2 linked regions of the Arabidopsis thaliana genome follow. The protein of the gene in region 1 interacts with the protein of each later gene in a pairwise test. Each region holds a gene or a part of one and is shown in the gene's direction. Other genes may lie near its edges.

Region 1 (3,756 bases):
AGCAAATTTTGTTGTTGCCACCTTATATACAGCTTCTTGTGTTAAAACTATTGGCATCTCTTCCTTGTTTTGCAGGTGTTGTTTCCGGAATTCGGAATAGTTCTTTGTTGTTGTGCTTATTATACTGGTTAGTTTGTGAGAATGTGCATTGTTGGAAACAAGAAGGGAAACCGATCATTGAAGGAAATAGGAACTTTTATGATGACTACATGTTTCATTGCTAATTACCAATCCGTTCAAGTTTGCCAGGTACATGCCTCTCTTTGATTTAGTATTTCCTAACACTTCTATCGCTTAGGCAACACTGATTTATGTCATTAAAAGAACTCTATCCTCTTGATGACATGTGGATAGCTATTTGTTAGAGTATTAACCATAGTTTTTCTGATATTCAACCTTTCTTATAAATCATTGCAGGCTGAATATTTCAGACAGTTGCTTAAGCCTGTAACGTAGTCTAGCGTCTGGAGTTTTCGGAAATTGGGGTTTTGAGCGGCTATCTACTTTTGATTTCGAAAAAATTTACTGTGAGTTGTTAAAGAGTCTGGTATTCTGAAGAGCTGTCTGTGGGGGAGCTTCTGGTTTGGGGGGTAAGGGCTCTGGTGGAAACTCGTGATATCTTTAGTATGATGGCCATAACTTGATATAGCATTTGGTTCCGTGTGTCAACTTAGTGTAGTAGTAACTGAGCAGCTGGAAGCTTACAAAGGCGACAAATCGGTAGTAGAAAATATTCAAGCAGCTTGCAGTTTGAGGTGTACAACTTGTTTTTCTCTTTGCGTTTCCTTTTTTACGTTTGCACGGGTTTTCTGATGCAGAACAATCAGTTTCCTCACTTCTCAGATGAAGTGGGTGACAGAAATATGCACAACCCGTATGCATCAGGGTCATCCTATGATGCTTTGTTCCCACCATGTGCAAAGTTGCCATACCATGGTGTTGAACTTCAACCGTCTGCGGTCTGTCCAAAGAACTTTGTCATCTTCGATCAAACATATGACCGCAGCCAAGTGATGTACCATCCTGAGCTGACTCATAAGCTCATGAATACCCCTTCGTTGAACAATTTAGCTTCGACGTTTCAGAACGAGTATGTTGGGGGAAGTTATGGTAACTATGGTAACTATGAGCAAGAAGTATCCTCTTCTTATCAAGAAGATCCAAATGAGATCGATGCTCTCTTGAGCGCAGATGAAGATTATGAAGAGAATGATGATAATGAAGGTGAAGAGGATGGTGGTGATTCAGAAGAAGTCAGCACTGCTCGTACTTCTTCCAGGGATTATGGAAACACCACAGCAGAATCTTGTTGTTCCAGTTATGGTTACAACAACAACAACAACAACAACTCAAGGAAGCAGAGTTTATCGGGCAGTGCTAGTAGTAGTAACAATGATGGGAAAGGACGTAAAAAGATGAAGAAGATGATGGGAGTATTGAGGAGAATTGTCCCTGGAGGAGAACAGATGAATACAGCTTGCGTTCTTGATGAAGCTGTTCAGTATCTCAAGTCACTTAAAATCGAAGCTCAGAAACTTGGCGTTGGACATTTCTCAAACCAATCTTGAATGCTACCGATATTCGGTTCTTCCATCACTATTGTTTCTCGGGAGGTAAATCATCGGTCTAGCGCTATCTGGACCTTTCTCTTTATTTTCCTCCCTCTATACTCACTTCCTTTTGTTGGCAGGATGGTATCTATTTTATGTTTGAATCTCTCTATGTATTTTGCTTTTTGTGTGTTACTGCTTCGATGAAGAAGCAAGGTTTGAACAAGTACTTGTGGATTTGATTTGAGATTTTAATTTGTATGGTTTTACTTTCACTGTAATCATTTGACTATGAACTACAATTATCATTATGTATTTGCTTCTACATAGTTTTAAACATTTGGTCTTCCTTCTACTGAACAATGTAAGGGCCATCATTTTGAAAAGTCACGCTTATACCATAAAACGGGTCCTATACGTAACCAAAATTCAATTTCTGATGGAAATTAACTGGGTTATTAAATAACCGGGTTTATAAATTGGGTTATGATTACATTTTATTTTACACAGTATAGCTCAACGATTCGTCTCAAAGCTTCACACTTTCGTGAAATCTGCAGACTTTGTGTAGTTCTCAAATCTCGATTCGTTGGATTCAGTTGAAGAAATAGGCAATGGCGACTCCGTCGTCGTCTTTCTGGAACACAGCTTCACGAGAAGCCATGAAAAGCGGCGTGTTACTCGCGAAACTCTACTGCTTTCTTCATGTAACAACAAACTATCTCGGATTCATGGCTTATGTGAGTCAATCGAAATCTCTCTTCTTTTTTGGTGTAAATCGAATTCGTTATTGAAAATTTACCATAAAGATGTAGTCTTTTTGAGCAGGCTTATGGTCCGAGCATGACTCCGACGCTTCATCCTTCGGGAAATGTGTTATTAGCGGAGAGAATCTCGAAGCGGTATCAGAAACCGAGTCGTGGAGATATAGTTGTGATACGATCTCCAGAAAACCCTAATAAGACTCCAATTAAAAGAGTTATTGGTATTGAAGGTGATTGTATAAGCTTTGTGATTGATTCAAGGAAGAGTGATGAATCTCAAACCATTGTGGTATGTTTTGTTACTTAACCTTCTTCCTTGTTGACTTCACTTCACTTTGGTTTTGCTTATGGATGAGATTTTTGAATGTTGTACTTAGAGAACTGAGTTTGAAGAAGGTAGATACATTGTTGAGAAATTGAGTGATCAGAGTTGAAACAAGTTGTTAATTAGTATTGAGCTCGATTTAGCTGATTGCAATTCATGGAAAATTTTGAATCTTTTAGCAACGTTAGTGTTATTGGTGTATATTACAATTTCCTTTGGATTGTTTAGTTTGTTGGATTAATGGCGAATTGATCTTTCGATGTTTTTTTGGTTTTAGGTTCCTAAAGGACATGTCTTTGTTCAAGGTGACTATACTCATAACTCACGAGACTCAAGAAACTTTGGTACTGTACCTTACGGTCTTATTCAAGGCAGAGTGCTTTGGAGGGTATAAACTTTTTGTCATTAACTTACAAATATAGTTAGATTATCTGATTTCGGAACTTCAAATGTGTTATTTGCATTTGTTTTGGTAAATCTATTTGGCTAATCTTCGGTATGTATAATAATGTGTAGGTTTGGCCATTTCAAGATTTTGGACCGCTTGGACCAACCCCAACTTAGCATACGAGTTAGCTTGGTCATTAGGCCAATGAGATGACCGAGGCAGATTGGTAGTATGGTTAATCGTTGTTGCCGAGTGAGTCTGGCTCATGACTGACTATGAGATGCAGGATCATCATACCATTCACGAAGATGGGAGAATCTAAACGCTCAGGAAAAGTGAGTATATGGTTTAGACTTGAGAGCACGTAACATTATGTATTTTTGGTCTGACGCTGTATGTGAGAGTCGCCTCTGTATCAAAAAGTTAAAACAAACATCGAATGTTTTGTGTGAAGCCAAGATTATTCATGGGAAAATCTTATAACCATTTAAAAATACTACTTGATCAATAGCATTTCCCCACATTTTAAAGATTGCTCTATTTTCACTTAAATCAATCATGGTGATACCAATTGGTGGTAACGTCAAGTTTGTCAAGCCAAACTGTAGGGATTTTCTTAATTGTGTGTCAAATAATTTTTAAAACAATCATTGTGATTTATTTTCTGTTTTCCCACATATTTGATAGTTATTTAAAATCGTAGTTTCGACTATCACAATTTTTACCAAT
Region 2 (3,756 bases), on another chromosome or scaffold:
AGGGAAGCAAGTACGCAACTAATCCATGTATGCATGTATGTATGAATGCATGGATGCATGAATGCAAGCATGTATGAATGCATGGCGTGTATGTATGAATGCATGAATGTATGAATGCATGGCGTGTATGTATGAATGCATGGATGCATGAATGCATGGATGCATGAATGCAAGCATGTATGAATGCATGAATGTATGAATGCATGAATGTATTAATGCATGGCGTGTATGTATATATGAATGTATGAATGCATGGCGTGTATGTATGTATGAATGTATGAATGCCGGCGTGTATACGAATAAGTGCCTGTAAGTATACACATTCTTCAATTGATTTGCGAATCCAGAATTCTCTGTTTTCTGAGTTCTAAGAAACGCCACATTCTAGGCTCTGGACTTTGCACCTGAAGAAGAAACGTGACTTAACATCATATTCAAAGACCAATATCAAAAGATCAAGGAGGAGAAAAAGATTGAATAGATCAAATATTTGAACAAAACCAAAGGCACTTTGTGTTTGTTAACATAACTAAGATTAGAGCCGCTTCCTTGGTTAACTATGATGAACCATCATCTTCTTCTTGTTCTCAGGCAAAACGATCTGTAAAAAATAGAAAAGTAAACCAAAAGAATCAGACCAAGAACCAAACCGGAAACACAGTGATGCAGAACAAAATCTATACCAGATACAGAGCATCACAACACCACTTGATCTTTGATTCCCATTCACAAAATCTAAACCTAATACAGATATCCCAATCTCGCGATCGTTTACAAAACCAAATCAAACGAATCACAAAACTATCGTAGATGGTATTGAGGAGGAAATAACAAAATTGATCGAGACAAATCAAACCCCAAAAGATTAACACACCGATGGAACAAATTAAGTAACATAAACAAAGAACGAGAGGTGTTGTAACAGTAATCGAATCAACTAATCAAGTAACAGAGAAACACAATTCATAAACAGATCATCGGAATTGAGAATTCATAATCATCGGAATTGCCTCAAAGAAACCCTAAATTCGAGAGTTTGATAACTAACCAGATAATCGATATACCTAGACGAAGTGAGAGATCGTCATTTCTGGATCATGATCGTCGCCGACAATTCGTCGGTGAACCAAGCAAGATCGCCGGAGAAAAAAAAACTTCTCCAGACATTTTGCAAAAAAAATTAAAATTTAGGGATTTCTAAAAAGTGAGAGATATCATAGAGAGATTTGTAGAGGTTTTTCTTCTTCTTCAAACGGTCTAACTCCAATTTTTTCCGCTATATAGAAAAATTCAAAATTTGAAAAATCAAGATTCCAAGACTAAGACATGTTTCGAAAAAAAGAAATTGAAATTCCAGCTGTGACACGTCATGATTATCATGTGCAACAAGTTTGAGCTTAACCGGGATTTTAACATTTTGGTTTAGTGTGAAGGCCTGAATGTTTTTGGTTAAAGCCTAACCACTGTGATCTCATGAACATATTTAGATTCGTTTGGTTTTGGTTTTAAAATGTGACATTAATTCTAAGTCCAACCCAATTAGATCGAAGCAATTATATGTTATCTTCCCAACCCAAACTACGTATTTTCAACTATACAATGAAAATTAAAAGTGACCAAATTAGGCGACACAGAAACGAACAGGTCCAATATATAATAGTTTGGGCCGCTGTAAAAATATACACGTTTGGGCCAAGCCTAGTAAAAAAAAACAAAAATTTGGCCTCTTAACTACCGATTCCAAAATTGAAATGTAGCGTTTTGATTATTCTTCTTTAAATTGTCAGGTTCTACGAAAACCCTAACCAGAGAAGCTTGCCAGCGGCTGAAGAGTTCCGACGAAAGCAGAGGAAGAAAAATATATCGGTTAACCGACCGAACCGAAACACTGGGTAACCAAACATAATTTACAAACCTTCCGATCGGTTTTCCTTTCCTAACCGAAGCAAAGCCCGGAACCAAAAATTTCGGTTCGGAGCGGTTCGGAATTATCGGTTCGAGTTTGTCTCGCAGGCCTACAAAAAAAACTCTATAAATATATGACATATCTAAGGGTTTCCTTAACCTAATTCATTAGCTTTTTCTCTTCACTCTGAACGTGAAAACAAACACAGAGAGTTTGTCTTCAAAATCAACAAGAAGATGACGACCATTCGATCTTCACCTTCTTCCTCTCGTTGTTCCAATTCGTCTTCCTCTTCTTCTTATTCACTCGCTTCCACAAGTTTGTCTAACAGACTTGAGACTATATTCAAGAAAGCTTCAGAGCTTTGCACTCTCTGTGATATCGAAGCCTGCGTCATCTATTACGGACCAGACGGAGAACTTAAAACATGGCCTAAGGAGCGAGAGAAAGTGCGAGACATTGCTCTGAGGTTTAATCAATTAAACGAAGCCTTGAGACACAAGAAAAGCGTTAATCTTCATGGGTTCCTGAACAAGAAGAAGAAGAACAAGGGTTTGAAGAATCCGAACAAGAAGAAGAAGACGAGTCTTAAGAACGTGAATGTTTTAAAGTATCCACTCGCTGATCATTACTCTCCCGACCAAGTTTCTCAATTGACTCAGTCCTTAGAACTCAATGTCTCTAAATTCCAAGAAAGGCTTCGATTTCTTGAGTCGCAGAAACAGAATGAGACAAAACCGGATCATCAGAGTTTAACATCAATATCTTCTCTGAACCAATCTTTGAACCCTAGCCAGTTCTCGCTGTTTATGTATAACCATGGATATAATACTCTGTCTCAGATCCCAGTCTCTGCATCAAATTTCAATCAGGATTATATCTCAGCGTTACTTGAACAATCTGAGTTGAAGAGTCAGATAATGAAGCAGGAGGTTTGTGGTTATGAGCAGAACATGTGCATGAGTAACCATGGAGATGCTACGCTCTCTCAAATCCCATTCTCTGCATCAAATTTCAATCAAGATTTTTCAGCCAACAACAACTTCCAACATTCTTTTGTCTCAAACACACAAGATTACTACTCTGTTCAAAAATCTGTGAATAACAACTATGGGTTGAAGAATCAGTTAATGAAGCACGATCTTTGTGGTTATGAGCACAACATGTGCATGAGTAACCATGGAGATGCTACCTTCTCTCAAATCCCACTCTCTGCATCAAATTTCAATCAAGATTTTTCAGTCTCAATACAAGAAGAATCTGGCTTGATGCAGCAGGAGCTTTGTGGTTATGATCAGAATCAGAACATGAGCATGGGTGACATCACAAACAACAATTTTCAAGTTACTTGCGCCTCAGTACTAGAATCTGTGAACAACTTTGGGTTGAATCAGTTGATGCACAAGGAGTTTTATGGTTGTCATCAAAACATGTCTATGGGTAACATCAATAACAACAGCTTTCAACATCCTTGGGTCTCAAACGCAGACCATACTCGGCGGTACAAGAATCTGTGAACAACTTTGGGTTGAATCAGTTAATGCATGCAGCATGAACTTTACGGTTACGGTTATGCAGACTTTTGTTAATTTCTTATGATTAATTTGATGTGTTGTTGTTGTTGTTGAAATGTATTCAGATCTACAGCTTGTTTACGGTTATTAGTTGGATAGTATTTAGCAGTACATGCACTTTCACTTTCCATAAAGGTCATTATTGTATCATGATTGATGCAGAGGATATCTACACCAGTATTCTTTCACTCTATAGTAGCTAGAAACAACAAGTACTACGTAGCTTATTAGTGTCTTTTAAAGTACATATATATAAATGTGATATGTTGGCTCACT

What was found. The genes of interacting proteins can lie anywhere in the genome.
Region 2: the proteins of AT1G29960 (region 1) and AGL77 interact in a two-hybrid assay, tested with the Arabidopsis thaliana proteins (one large-scale study listed by BioGRID).

The regions. Positions count from the first base shown.
Region 1 is NC_003070.9:10,492,649-10,496,404, forward strand, and holds AT1G29960 (Peptidase S24/S26A/S26B/S26C family protein), read left to right. Parts: upstream 1-1,978; 5' UTR 1,979-2,164; coding exon 2,165-2,290; intron 2,291-2,365; exon of another isoform or gene 2,366-2,378; coding exon 2,379-2,603; intron 2,604-2,916; coding exon 2,917-3,027; intron 3,028-3,155; coding exon 3,156-3,203; 3' UTR 3,204-3,557; downstream 3,558-3,756. Other genes in the region: AT1G29950 (basic helix-loop-helix (bHLH) DNA-binding superfamily protein), read left to right, coding at 813-1,568.
Region 2 is NC_003076.8:15,512,692-15,516,447, reverse strand, and holds AGL77 (AGAMOUS-like 77), read left to right. Parts: upstream 1-2,142; coding exon 2,143-3,423; 3' UTR 3,424-3,505; downstream 3,506-3,756.